Styela clava: one gene and its partner. The protein of the gene in region 2 interacts with the protein of the main gene of each other region in a biochemical or structural test. Links are inferred from orthologs where the notes say so. Each region holds a gene or a part of one and is shown on either strand. Other genes may lie near its edges.

Evidence for each region.
Region 1: the proteins of adenine DNA glycosylase-like (region 2) and DNA repair nuclease APEX1-like form a complex in vitro, tested with the Homo sapiens proteins (3 studies listed by BioGRID and IntAct, with this or other methods). The link is inferred for Styela clava from reciprocal best matches to the Homo sapiens genes MUTYH and APEX1.

The regions. Positions count from the first base shown.
Region 1 is NC_135256.1:4,929,387-4,937,169, forward strand, and holds the start of DNA repair nuclease APEX1-like, read left to right. Parts: upstream 1-4,781; 5' UTR 4,782-4,968; coding exon 4,969-5,067; intron 5,068-7,189; coding exon 7,190-7,255; intron 7,256-7,698; coding exon 7,699-7,734; intron 7,735-7,783.
Region 2 is NC_135258.1:10,284,601-10,292,503, forward strand, and holds the start of adenine DNA glycosylase-like, read right to left. Parts: upstream 3,118-7,903; 5' UTR 3,116-3,117; coding exon 2,904-3,115; intron 2,357-2,903; coding exon 2,159-2,356; intron 1,302-2,158; coding exon 1,112-1,301; intron 621-1,111; coding exon 1-620. Other genes in the region: amine sulfotransferase-like, read right to left, coding at 4,116-5,054. UniProt on the Homo sapiens protein: Involved in oxidative DNA damage repair. Initiates repair of A*oxoG to C*G by removing the inappropriately paired adenine base from the DNA backbone. Possesses both adenine and 2-OH-A DNA glycosylase activities.

The DNA of each region.
Region 1 (7,783 bases), on a different chromosome or scaffold from region 2:
AACCAACACTTGTATCGGGGATATGTCTCCCTTCACGGAAGTAAATCCGGTTAAAACCGTCCGTGACTTGAATCTTTTGCTGAAAAACACCCTTTGTGACGCTTGTGTGTAAATCTATTGGCTATTGAGCTTCACCAGCAGCGAAGATTGATTTCTAAAGTTTGAATAGAGCAGGAAGTGACGTATATTCCACCGAAACCCAACAAAGAATGGGAAAGATAAAAATAAAATATTCAATAGCGCTTCTGAGACCAAAGCTCTACCATGCACAATAGGCTGCAGTATACGAATGATCTTTCAAAACATGACTTCATCTCTGTGGAACATATTAGTCACGTAACGTTTTATCTAAGGCTTGACAATTCAATACGAAAACAGAAAGAATATTTTTGTCGCAGAAAACAAGAAAAAAATAAAGTTGTCTTTTTGCGCGAAGACGTCTGTTTATATAACAGAAATATTATTTATATTTATGCCTGAATGAGTTTTTTCATAATTTTATTCAATGATGAACAAGGGAACACATGTCTTTGTAAAACTATTTTCCATAGACCTTGTACATACGTATAGTATGCCTACGTTGAAGTATTTGTGTCACATTTGCGCATATCTTTGCGATCCTAAAGACATAATTTCAACTTTTTCTAATAGCTAAGACTTGGCTATTTAATACGAAAATAATTTAAAACATTCGTGGTTCTAATTTTTTTTATTTCATTTTGCCATTACTGTATAGCTAGTATTTAAAATCAAAGTGGTATTACAGCATTAATATCGTTATTTTACAAATTTTTTGATAAGTTTATGTGAATAGGGAAAGTAATAACTCCAACCTCTTAATTTCAGCTCCGTGAAACTATAGTTACATAACGTTTCATGTAAGGCTTGGTAATTCAATGCAAAAACAGTAAGCGATGCATATTATTGTAAAAAAAAGTAGAATATTAATTTGCAATAAGACTACAAATTTTGTTTTCCCTAAAATATAAAATAGAAATATTATTAATAAGCCGGTTAGGATACTTTAGAAACGATTTTTTCACAATTTTATTTATTGGTGAACAAGCCAATAGGCATTCAAAAACGATTGTACATCGCCCCTTTACATACGTTCCCTGAGTTTTGTTCTTTTATAAATTTATAATTCTTCTTCGTGCTTGTTTACATTCCTATTGACTACGGATATAAGTTTTACAAACAATAGAGACTGATTCTTCAGTTGGAAAAGGAGGTTTGGTCAGTATAACCAATTGTATCTTGAAATTTCGTGTCAAGGTTCGGGTCAAGTAGACATTATTCAACTTCCTGCAATAGGAATCTTGGGATCAACTGAATATCCCCTCCCCTTGGACCCGCCTGGGGAGGAGATTCTTCAGTTGAGTTGGACTCACCTGGAAGGGGGGGATTCTTCAGTTGATCTTAGTTGGGGTAGAGATTCTTTAGTTGATCCCGTTTCTCAACTGAAAAAAAAATATTCCCTTCCCCCAACCAACCTAAGCCGATAATACCAGTTGATCCTTTATTTGACCTGGGCTAATTATTTGTTAGGGTTAGATGGTCTTAGTTGGGGTGAAGATTCTACAGTTGGTCTTAGTTGGGGTGGAGATTCTACAGTTGGTCTAACTTGGGGTAGATATTCTTCCCCCTGTAGGGGGAGGGGGATTCTCCAGTTGATCCAAAGTTTGTTCTCTAGTCCAGTGTTTCCCAAACTTTTTCGGCAGCGGACCCCTATTTGTGAATATCAATTTTTACGGACCCCCATCCTATGCCGTATCAATTTCTGTGTCTGATCAACGAGTAAGGATAATGTTTCATTTACAACACAACGCAAGCGACATTAATGTGATGGGTGAAGTTCCTTTTCATTCCACAATTTATCAATTGTCGGAGCAATTTGTATCTAGCAAACTCTCCGACAACTATCGACCTGTATTTTGTTGTCATATTGGTAAGAGCTGTAAATTCCTTTCCACACACATATATAAGTCGTTACAAAAGGCAAGAAATGCGTATTTGTTCGAAACGCTGCGCAACGATTTTTTTTTTGATTGAAATCAATCATTAAAGATTGATCAAACTCGCATACCGTTGCGGACCCCCCCTGCAGTGATTACGGACCCCCAGTGGTCCGCGGACCCCAGTTTAGGAAACCCTGCTCTAGTCTGGTCTAGAATTTTACCTGATATATAAATTCTATAAATATAATTAAATTCTTGGCGTTTCAATCACTTTGATGATTGTGGCATTGATACGAGCACGAGCAATGATATTTGCGACAATTGAATTCTTAAGTTTGGTTAAAAGTTATATCAGCAGCAGGGGCGGACACTTTCCATAATTTTGGGGGGGCGAACTTGGATCGCCTACCGAAAAACGCCGCGCCGCGCCGCGTATCGTCACGTAACAATAACCTGTCGATGTCATTCTCTAAGTATTAGCATGTCATTTTGCTACTGATATATCGAGTACCTGGGCTGCTTTGCTCGGACACGGAACTTGCGCGTCACTGATCCAATTTCTTGAATTCCGCGAGAATTAGCCCACGGCTCTTGCTAACAAACAGAAAATAACAAATTGAGGAGTATTAGGTTATTGTTTCAATTCCTAGTTCTGCATAAAGCGCACTAACGTCGTTTCGTAAAATTAAAAATGCAAAACAAGGTAACAAGCTATTGTGCGAATTTTTTTCCTAAATTTTACCAAGGAATTATCATTTGACTAGTAGAATTGCCATTATTGCCGATTTATTAAATCATCATTTGAACTCGAAATAACATTCAGGATTCACGCAATGACTTTGCAAAGTCGGAACTTCACATTGCCGTCTGCAACAAGCACCGCGATTACGCGCTCGTTAAAAGAGCCGCCTATTTAAGCGTATAAGGATTTTTCTGTCGATCCATGACAGCCACGAGATTCTAAAATGTTCTTATATATTAATTTAATAGGATTCACGCAATGACTTTGCAAAGTCGGAACTTCACATTGCCGTCTGCAACAAGCACCGCGATTACGCGCTCGTTAAAAGAGCCGCCTATTTAAGCGTATAAGGATTTTTCTGTCGATCCATGACAGCCACGAGATTCTAAAATGTTCTTATATATTAATTTAATAGTGTGCAACGTAACTCGCGGTTGCGACTTTTTACGTCAAAATAAAAATATTACTAAACTAAAGTAACACGGTGATATGTTTGCCTAAAAATATGAGATAAGCTGCCTGATGTATTTAATTTTGATACCTATTTTTGCAATCTTCCGAACTCGTTACCGCCGTAACAAAAATCTCAATATCTGATATAAAATCCCATGTAGTACAATTTTAATTCATACAATGAAAATAATTATAAAGTATACTAGTAAATCAAAAATACAAATTCACCGCCTCGAAATCCACGTGGAACAGTCGCCGCGATTACGCCACTTGTTAAAAGAGCTGACTTTATCAACGAAAAATGATTTTTCACTTGTGCCAAGTAATCGAAGACCGATACGGGCATAATAAAAATGTCTTGATTTATTAATTTAATTGTCTTCAATTTAAACTGCGGTTGATTCGACAAAACAAGAGCCACTCTAAAACACGACGGCAATCCGCGGACATAAAAATGTGTGGTAAACTGCCCGTTTATATATTGTTTTGATCCGTATTTTTGCTATTTTGCGAATTCGATAAATTTGAGATGTACATGTCACACTGGCTCCGCTCAATCGCAATGTTGTCACTCCGATTATTTTTAAAGATAAAACCTTTCGAAAAATCCGTAAATTTTCTGTCAATTCTCACGTAGTAAAAGTTATTTCAGTACAATAAAAATACATAAATAAATACAAAAAGTGATCGAATATACTTTAATTATCTTATATATCATCACAAACCGGGGAAAAGTCGCGTTCTCAGCTTTGTTTGTTAACACGAAAATTTTACGACGTCAATTTAAAAGTAATGGATAAAAAGGCAAATCCCGCTCACAATTGACCGTGTTTCGATTTTAGTGACGAAATGTTTTTAAAGGTCAAGCAAACATAATTTGTGCCGTAGGCACACGAAATTTTGCGATTTTCGATGCCTAGAAAAGCGTTTATAGACTGTCGCGGGCCTCAACAAAACTTATATTGTTTACATTTTTGTTTTTAGTATTTTATATTATCGCTTTTCAACTTTTCGACATAGTAAATGCTTTGATCTTTGCCCGCAAATTATGTTGGGCCTTGCACGAAATCCATAACATGAAAAGATACGTCCAGCGGTGAAAATTGTTTATAACAACTTTAGATCTAGTTAATTTTTTAGCGATAATAATTAATTGTTGTAATGAAACACAGTTTGCCTCTTTCACTTCTCTCGCAAGTGCCAACAATAACACTATTGAAAGATTTTGACAATGAGAAAATCATAATAAATTGTACAAAAATGAATTAGTTGTGCTAAACCGTTGCGCGTGATCGGCGATGCGTTTGAAGACGGAGTATTACCCGTGCGGGCGCGCATGTTTCACGAAAATATGAGGTGCTCCGAAGGCGCTCTGGTCCACATTATTGTAAGAAAACAGTTATAATATCGGTAACTATTAACTGTTTAATTGCGCTTGACTATCGCACTTTTCGAAAATGATAATTTCGTAAGGCGGAAACAACATGTATTAAATTGACATGTATTAAATTGACACCCCATCCCCCCCCCCCCCCCCCCGGGTGTCCGCCCCTGATCAGCAGGTAGTAGAGGAGGGCGTTCTGTTTCCTGACTACGAGCCAAGTAGCTGGCCAGACCAGTATCATTTGAACGAAAAATAAACAAATGTTTTACACAACAAATTGTTGGGCGACTGAGAAGCACGATTTGTTTAAAATAAAATTAAAAAATATCTTTTCATTTTATATTCACTCAACACGAAGATCACCAGGCCATCTGACGCCCCCCCTTCGACAGAGAGACCGACACGTGCGTGAGCCCTGATAAGCGGCATTTATGAGCCTGCAAATATTCGTTCGGGCAATTTCTAGTATCACAGTAACGCAATTAAGTCACCATATTTTTGTTCGTTCATGGTTATGCAATATGGCCAAGGTAAGCTATGTTTGCTGTACTATTTTATTTTAATTACAGAATTATACTGGGTGATATTATGGTGCAGTGCCGCTACACCACTGGCAGACTGCTATGACTGCAGAAGACTGAGGTGAACCGGTACCGTACCGGCAATTTGCGATATATTTTTGTGTTGTTGGGTAATTTACCGGCACCTTGGAAGTATGCAATTCAAGAGTCCTGCTGCACACTAACACAAATATATTTCTGTAACGTTTCATCTGACCAAAATCAGACTTCCTCAGACAAGCAGTTTACAACAATGACAAGAAAAGAGCAATCATGCAGTTTAAATATGGCGATAAATAAATTTGTTTGAAATTAATTGTGAGCAAACAATGAAAAAACAATTATTGATATTCAGAAACAGATTGCGAAATAAAAAAATGCAATCGGTTCTGAGCATGGAATAATTGTTCCGCGGCGTGCTTGATTTCACAATAAGTTTCACTAGAACATTTATCAATGTGTTCTAGGCTCAGATCTTGATAGCCAGGGTCCTTATAATGTGATTCTTTTAAAGGCGTTGAATTCTTTTTAGTATTGCTTCTAAATTCTTTTCTTGTGGTAGTTGTCGAGTCCGGAGTTTGGCAGGATCCATTCGGATACAGAAGTCACGCGAAAAAGGCTAATATAACGATCAGTAGAGGTTGCGCGAGACTAACTCCCAATCCTTTCTCTATGCCTTTGCGCTAGTGGATCCGTATGCATGTAATGCAAGGATGCTGTAGCAGGAATAAAATACCATAATATGCAATTCAAGAGTCCTGCTGCACACTAACACAAATATATTTCTGTAACGTTTCATCTGACCAAATGCAAAGGCATAGAGAAAGGATTGGGAGTTAGTCTCGCGCAACCTCTACTGATCGTTATATTAACCTTGGAAGTATCTCACATTTTTCCTATTATTTAGGTGTGTAAACATGTATCCAGTGGTGTGATTCAGCCGGTTCTATAGAACAGGGGTCCTCAAATACCGTACCGTATGGGATCGCGACCCATAAACCCTCCACTCTGGGTCGCACAACAATTAAATTAGCCATAAATATAAGCAACTACAACTTTGTAAACCTCTAATTATATTTATGGATGTTCAACATCCTTATTTACTGCCGTAACATTGGCCATTCAGCATAAGTGCAAAATTTAAAGTAACAATAAACGTTTTAGCAGCATGCCAGCATCTCAGACACTTTTGTGTCAGACATATTTTCATGGTTGTGAATGTTACCTCATTTTCGTGTGCTATTTGTTAGTTTTTAGTTGTGTTTTGGTAAATATAGGCTAAGTCTAAATCAAATAACTCAATAGTCATTTTGTCTTCTTGATTGCAGTAATCAAAAATTAGTCTAAAAATAGATCTGATAGGCTGGGCCAGGGTGGTCCAAACCCAGGCCTACGGGCCACATGTGGCCCGCAGTCTCATTATCTGTGGCCCGCGTCCCTTTGATGAAGGGTAATCGAAAAATCGCATTTGGTGTTGTTTCGTCCTAAAAATAACAGAAAATCTTTCCGACATCTTGTTACATCACTAATGTCACTGAATTGACTAGTGTCACAGCTAGCTGAAGCAACTTGCAAAGTTGAATAGTGTGCTTGGGTAGTCCAAATTGTTCACTGGCTTTCTATCGCAAAAAGTTAGAAAAAAAAAAATTTGTGTCACGCCATGAAGTAGTTGCAGACTCCTGCTATAGAAAGTCTCACAGAATTTTTGAGATCAAGTAGCTCGCATGTTTCTTCTCAAAATGTGAAATGATCAAGTTCGCACATACCAGTTATGTCAATTAGGAAATTATTGAAAATAATTAGTTTATTTGCTAAAAAAATAAAATTTTGTAACAGAACCGGCTAAAAAATTTGACTTTTGTGATGGAGCCGGCTGGCATAAAAATTTGATTCTCACCACTACATGTACCGGTAACACCTATTTTAACAGCATCATTCAATTTAAAATCTGTTTGTTTTAACCCTTACTCGAGGTTTTGTTTGCTCTCCTGATTTGGAATCAATTTTTTTTTTTTTTCATCATTTTTTATTATGGAGACTAAATAAACTTAACCAATCTATCCTTCACTAAAAATATTGAAAATTTTGACAGAAACAAAAAACTGAAAAAAGAGCAGCAGAAAGTTCAGCTAATGAAGAAGAAATTGTTAATAAGAAGGTGAGTTTGTGCTTTTCGGATCGCACCTACGATTACCGTCTGTAAGTTCGCAGGTTCGAATCTTGTGTAGAATAATTAGCCTATGTGCGAGAGGATTGCCGAAATCATCATCGTCGTAGGGTAACTGCATCGATTGTATTTTCCCTCAGTTACATGCCAATGCATTCCCTCTATGATGTATTTACACATGAGGGTGTTAGTAATTCGCTTTTGCGTTTGAAGCGCACAAACGTGCTGTGATTTTTAATATAATAATTACATCACTGATATTCTAGATTTTATTGAAACCATCTGGAAAGACATGATACCTTTTCCGATATTTTATGGTTCAAATCCCTAGAAAAAAATAAGTCGAGTTGCCCGATAAGCTGACTCAGAAAGTCACGCCAAAAATAGGCTTATTAGTCAGAAAATACAGTATATATATTTTCATATCTTTGCAGGCCAAAACCAACTATAAAGACGCTACAATAGGCCAGGTAAGATGGTTATTTTTTTGGGGGTTCTTTTAGTGTAACTGATTCAAAA
Region 2 (7,903 bases):
CCTGACAAATATTTTTCTAACATACCATCTGTGTTTTCAGATATATAATTTATTGTGTGTTTTGTTGGGTGTGTCCCTTTCTCAGAAAAGTGTTTCTTGAAACTTTTATGTGCTACTTGTTCAGCATTTAAAGTTAGGGTAGGGAATTCCCACAGTTTGGCTAAAAGTCCAGTGTCCGGCCTTTGAGTAACCAACATTTTGGATTCATTATCAACATGTTTTAATTCAACCACGCTTAATAAGGCAATGTCTTGTCTTGGCGGCTTTTTATCTGCTTTTCTAGGGTAATTCATGACCCCAAGCGCTGGAAGCCATGGCTTATCAACTGGAAATTTTAAAAAAGATATCGTACAAGATTCTATATCCTCAACATTTTTACTTTTCAACTCTTCAATCTCAACTTTTACTCGTTTTGGTGTTTTTGAGTTGTCACCATCTGCTGATGCTTTCCTTTTGTTTTTGTTGTTGTTTTTACCTAACAGTAAGTTTGATACAGAAATTGTATTTGTTTTCTTATAATTTTCAACTTCCTTATAACCTTTACAAACACTTCGTAGAGGACATCGCGAGCATACAGGATTTTTTGGCATGCAGACCAAAGCTCCCAATTCCATCATTGCCTGTCAAATTAATAAATGAAATTTCGCATGTGGCATGTAGTTATGTAAAAAAACAGTTGGATACAATTTCTGATTGAGCTGACAGAATAAGGATGACAGATGAAAAACTTCTACAGAAAATAAAGACATTTCTCACCATTTCCAGAGAGGGCGAAGAGCCAAGTCAGAATAAAAGTTTTATTAATTTTTCTTTTCAAATTTATAGCAAGTGGAAATTTAATGAACATGATTCAAAGTTCTGTAGGATACAACCTACGGGTAAATGCTTGATTAAAATATATTGGGCATTTGGATTTAAATTTTTGCAATAGCAAAATATAAGTCTATAAACAAAAAAAGTGCAGATAAAATGAGCAAGTTTATTGACTGGAGAAGTTTCAATAATATAATGTTAACTAAAAGAGCAATTTTTGATAGAGATCCACTGGTCCTATGATTGGTCAGTCATATCATATTATTTATATTTAATAAAATACCCATATTACATCTACCTGGTTAAAATCTCCAGGCTGATCAGATGGAATGCTTTTGTCGACTTGATCCCATAAATGATCAGTAACATTTTTTGAAGACACATCACCTCCAATAGTAAGAAGACGACTTATAACACGAATCACATTTCCATCCAGAACTCCAACTGATTCGTTGAAAGCTATTGAAGCGATTGCAGCAGCTGTATATCTGGTGTATTTTGATGAAAATATTTTTTTTATATTATTTTAAGTAGTTTTTACATTTAACTCCTAACAAGATTCTAGACAGTAGACATGCAGACGCGGATACCTTAGGAACTTCAATTTTAGGAAGGATCAGAACCAATTTGGCATTGCTTAAATAATTATTACAACCTGGATAAGGTGTTCCTTAAACACACACACAATTGTGATACAACCATTCCCCTTTTTAGGATCAATATCACCAACAAGAAATATGCAGTATCATAACAGGAGTGCGCAAAAACATTACTCATTATCATTGGTCTAGGTCAGGGGTTCGACAACTTTCAAGAGTCCAGTGCGACCCCAGGTCAATATATATATTTTTCATGAATCTTTAGAGCTTTTTTCACTGGACTTTTGATGCTTACGGCCCTGTTTTACAGTAAGCCATGGTACAAACTGCTAAATTTAACATGGTTTGTCAAATCTTAGATGATATGTACATCCATCCTCTATCATACCTCAGTGACCCGACCGACCCCATGACCTGTTTGCGACCCTACCTACTCATCACTCCGACCCAATTTGGGGTCGAGACCCCTGGTCTAGGTTCTTGTTTTACCTCAAAGTTAAGTAGAAAATGACTATTTTGGGGTACAAATACATTTAAAAAAAATTGAACAGTCTTTCGTCCTTTTCAGTTATTAGACATGTTTTCAAAAATGATATGAAAAACATCTATTCGATTCAAATTGAGTTAGAATTGAATTAGCACACTGTCAGTGCAAATATGAACATTCGTGTTTCCAAACAAATATCCCAACAATTTATGTTTATCGATTGAAAAGCACTCATTCATGAACCAGTTTGTTTACTCACCTACCAACTCCTGGAATAAGCTTCATCAAATTAGTCGCGTTCTCAGGTATTTGTCCATTTAAATCTTTTACAACTTTACAGGCTCCTTCATGCAATCTCCTTGCTCTTGAATAATAACCCAGGCCAGCCCACACTTGATTTACTTCCTCCATATTTGCTTTGGCCAAATCGTGAACAGTCGGCCATTTTAACATCCACCTTTCAATACAAAAAACAAACTTTGTGTTATGTGTGGAAACAAAGGATTTGTGTGAACTTGCAGTACATGTTCATTAAAAATTTAATCCAATGGGCCAGTAAGTCCTATTTTGAAATTATCATTCACCCCACCTATGCATGAAAAGCCTGTTTCCATTTGTTGTTTAATTTTAAGGTATCATACTATCATCAGCTACTGCACTGTTTGAATGGTCTATAATTGGCCAATATATATATTACAATAAGAATGAATAATATCACACAAAAACACAGTGAAATTTCCTCTCCAGTTAGGACATCCCGTATTAGTACATACATCATTTAATATCTACATTATAACAAATGGAATTCATGACTACCATCTATTCTACCCCAATTGGAATTGAAACTGACTTTACAAGAGTGAAGTATGTACTCATAAAAATCTGATTTAGTTTAAATGTTTCGAAGATTTCTTTATAGTCTGACATACTGTTGCATTCATTAAGTTGATTTTTTGGCTTTATTTAGAAAGCGATTCTCTCAAATTGCAATCTAAGTTGCTCACTTCTTATAGTAATCAATCACTGTGGTCACTCTGGTTTGTTGGAGCATGATCTCAGAAACCCAAACAGCATAAGCATGTTGTTGTTTATTATCAGTCAATGCTGCTCTTCTCCAGGGCAGGTCGCGTTTGTTTTGTCTATACCAATCCAAAAGCTCATTTTGTATCAATGAAATATTTTCTTCATCAAATGTGTGAGGATTATTGCTTTTCATATTACCGGTACTAACTAATGTAGACTTGAAAGATTACATAATTCAATTAATAAAGTGCAGCGATTTTCGTTTACAGTCATCACAGATAGTACTGAATGTATAATCAAAATATCTTCATGCTTGTACAGCGCCTTGCTCTGAGCAGACGGCATATATATAGGTGGTTGCATGTACAAAACCTTGCTCGAGTGAAAGGCATGGATAAGCGTCATATAAATCATAAAATACTATGTCAAATGAAGTTAATGAGAAGATTTCAAAACACTTTTACGCAGGCGTTGCATATAAGGAAAAAATAGTTGACAAAGTAGCAGCTAAACAGTTATTATTTACTAGTATTGTTTAAATAAAAATGCAAAAAAAATGTTTCGGGTTGAAGTCCCTAAACTCAAAGTTACCAAGCCACAGCTAATGAAAGGCTCAAGTCAAGTCAATTACTGAGCTGAGTCTTGTCTGCGGTAATTTAATACGAGTCCAAGTCACTTTATCCGGATACCCAGAGACACAACACAACAAGTTTTTGATAAATGGTGAATAGAGTCAAAATTGACTCTAGTCTCTAACATTCCCAAAACTGCAAAGAAATAAGATGAGGAATTATTATCATTTATTACATAATATGAACACCTTTATCAATAAACAATAAAATATATGACGGTCAACGAGGATTAATATTGAGAAAATTTTAACAATTCAATTGCATGAGAATACAAATGCAGTGATAATAAAGATTATATGCATAATTTTACAGTGAGTTAAACATAATTATGTGGTCACGACAGTGTTGATAGAAGCACACATACATGCAATAATGTACCAGTAAAAAATTGGGTACCGTACATGGATTGCACAATAAAAAATAATCAGAAGAATGATATTGAATTTAACAATAATATAAAATCCAATAATAGATAAATTGAAAAAATAGACTTGGCTGTGAGCAGTTTTTAAAAGTAATTTCTTGAGTTGCCTCGAACCAAGCTACTGGTACTTAGTATAATTAAATTACATACTGAAACTCAATATCAACATCTTTCATAGCAATTTTAAGATGATCATCCATTATTTCAGATTGGGAAACAGTGAAATGATTCTTCCAATCACCAACATCGCCTTTACGATAAAACATTTTTTCTTCACCTTCATTAGATTTCCTCATATAGGTGATTGAACAGCGTTTAACGATTTCAGCAATTTCTGTTTCATTTCTTTCAACTTCTAAAAAATCACAGATTGACTTGACAACAACATGGAAATCCTTTTTCATGTCTTCATATGAGAGGAATTTCACACAATTTTCATTCTTGTGTTTCAGCCAACTTTTGATATGATAGGGGTACCATTCACCTTCAGGAACATGCGTCCACATTTCCCCATTTATCAACTGTTTGTAGAATTTATCGAAATTGTCTGTTCGAAGATGAGCAAGCTCCGGAGGTGATGGATATGACGACTTGAAATGAAAATATGATGTTACCATATCTTTTGGGTTTCGATATAAATAAATGACTCTTGCATCATTTTTGACAATTTTCTCGAAATTAACCAACTCTTCCGGTAAGTGGGTGGTAAATATACGAGGACGAGTAAAGTGATCCATGACTTCAAACTTGGCTTTTGGCCCATGATCTAAATAAATGGGTTTAGAAAGAAATCCTCCACTCTTTGGACTAAGAAAATTCAACCAATTCGAATCTCTGATAAAATAAATCTGCTTTATAACTTCATACATCCAGTGTGTTCCACATTTAGGATAAGTCACAATAAAGACATCACCTTTACGTGGTTCCCAATTTCTGTATGCATATTTTGCTGCATCCATAGAAAAAGCCGCAATTCCACGAATATTCTTCCATGTTTGTGGTTTGAGTTTCCAATTATTCATAAACTGATTGACTTCATCAATTTTTGTTTTGATATCATCAGGAAAGGAATCCATCCTGAAGATTTATCATGACACAGGACTGGACGCCAAAAAAGTTTTTGTGATATATTATTATTACTGTATTATATTACTACAATAAATCAAATTCCCACTGCAGAATAATTTTAAGTTCTTCTCGTTACTGCGTTATGTAACTGATGCAATAAAATGTTGTATAAATGTGAAAAACAGAAAGTTAAACAAAGTTCCCCCAAAAATTGAAATTTGAACATGATTGGCCTTGGGGTCTCAAAACCATTTTGGGTATTGATTGATACTCTCAACCTCTTTTCAATCAAAAAGAAAAAGAAATGGAAAAAAAAAACATGATCAGTATTCTAACAAAATACTTGAATAAAACGTAATAATGTATATTTCACAAAATTTGTTAAACTGACCCAAATTCGAACAAGATCCTCCTTTCAAAAAATATATTGGGTATGAATGGATGGTTTCAACGTCTTCCCAATCAAATAAATTGGAAAAACTCAACCAGTCTTCTAACAAAATACTTTTTTACAATGTAATAATGTGAATTTAACAAAATTCAGAAGAATCATTAAATTGACCCAAAATTTGAACAAGATGAAAAAACTCAATCAGTTTTCTAGCAAAATACTTTTAACTGCAGAATCCTTGTTTTGTCTTACCTGAAAGTAAATCGGATAATCATAATTTAAACTAAATTTGGTATTAAATTTAGAAGCTCATACATTTGCCCACTAGCCTACTGTCAGTTGCTATAGAGGCGAGTATCGGGGGATGAGTCTGTTTATAACTTAGAATGCAATTCTCTCACTAACAACATAATCCTATTGATTCTAGAATTCATGCTGATAAGAAAACAATATTTTTAAGTGAAGTGAATCAAGCTTGAGAAAATTATGGAAGAGATTTCAGAAATAAAAATTTCAAAAAGGCGAAATCTCGATTGACATCTGTGCTTTCAGATATACATAAAGCTAAGGGAAATTCCATTCGTATGTAAAAGTAATATTGATATATATATGCCAATTTTCATCACTTCCAGGTGATTTAGCTAATTTGTTGCTGGAAGCAAAATTTAATTGACAAGAATTGCAGTCTAAATCCTGATTATGGGATGGTTTGTTCGACATATGCCAGCGGTTTTCATCTTTCTTGCATATCCGTTATAGCCTAGTCCGTTCTCAATTCTTTATTTCGTTGCACACGTATGGTTTATCACTTCTTTGGTATCTTTCTTCACACAAATGCATCGAGCACACCTCAATTCACAACAACTGAATTTGTAATTGCCGGAGATTCCAATAACAATCACATACAGACATCTGGACATAGGCTAGTTAGTGAGATAAAAGAATATTTGGATGAAACAAAGAAGCATAAAATATATTATGTGTTTTCTTTTTGTGGAATTTTGCTGTTTTCAACTCATATTGTGAGTCCTTGGTGTGTTAATTCACCTTCAAGTTCTTAAGTCTGTAAGTTGTAGACTAGTTAATTCCAGGGGGTTATATTGAGCAATGACCCTCCGTACGCGTCCTGCTATACGCTATATTATATAAAGGTTTTTTGAATGAACATAAATGCAATTTAATCTCATGAAATGCAGAACTGCAACGGCGCCATTTCGATAAAGCTGAGAGCGAGGTGATGTCTCGCCGCTTGTCAGATAGTTCGCCTCTCGGCTGCAAATTTTGCAGGCAAACTCACAACAAAAGCATGTCCAATGATGGGAATGGATGTTTTTCTGACCTTTATTCCCAGAGAGAGAGAGAGAGAGATTCATTATTCTTCAACCAGAAAAGCAAGCATTGCAGCAATAATAAAAATATACAACAACATACGCAGTAGAGGCAGAGAAACTCTTCTTTAGCGGGTGTTCAATCAAAATACTCCGTTTCCCGGTTTCTGACTTATTCTGTGCAACAATAGACCATACACTTCTACGGTATTTATAATTCAAGAAATCAGCAAATTTTTCGATATACATATTTTGTTCGACGCGATAACAAACGTTGTGTACTCCGAATGTTCAGTAATGCAATTATCATTTCAGAATTTTTAGCTTGCTTTACAGCATTACACGTTAAAACTGTTTAGGTAAATTTTCAGTTCGCCAAATGGTATCCCCTAAAATAGAAAAATGTATTTCCCAGGGAATTTTGCCCCGTTCGGAAATCTCTAGTCTAATGTATCCGAGCTCACATCTATGATAGCCGTTATCTCCAATGTGCATACCATCGATGGTGTTATATCTACGATATAATACCTCTATCAGTATTTTAAGTGAGGATTGGGACAACAATCTTTTGGAAGATTGCCATGGGTATTTTAACACCGAAACATGTGAATAATTACACCCTTTTACAGTTTAATGACGAAAATGCAAGATGCAAATGTAGCGGGTACATTAGGATAGTTACTGTGTATTTTAATATTTTCACCACGTATTGTTAAGTGCATGTTATTTGCCTGAAACAAGGTCGTTGCTCTCATTCATTTCCCATATATATGATATATTTTATCTTGCTCAGTGTTGCTTGTCTTTATCGTTTTTTGTTAGTTAGAAATTTGGTTTCATCACCTATACTTGCTTTAAGGTTTTAAAATGATTTCGTTATTTGGATCAATTCGATAGTGCAACTTTACAATATAAAAACATTTGGCATTCAAGACATTATGTGCTTAATTGACCTCTGAAGGAGTCTAGATTGGAGTTACACTCTGTTAACGTGTGTTCAATAACACGGGAGTGTAGACACGCAGATAGGGCCATAGCCCCCTGTACAAGTATCGTATCGCGATGTAACTGATCGAAGTTTTGGAATTTAGATGTCCTTCTCGCGATTCGGTTCACAGATGCAAATATACGTGGGTGC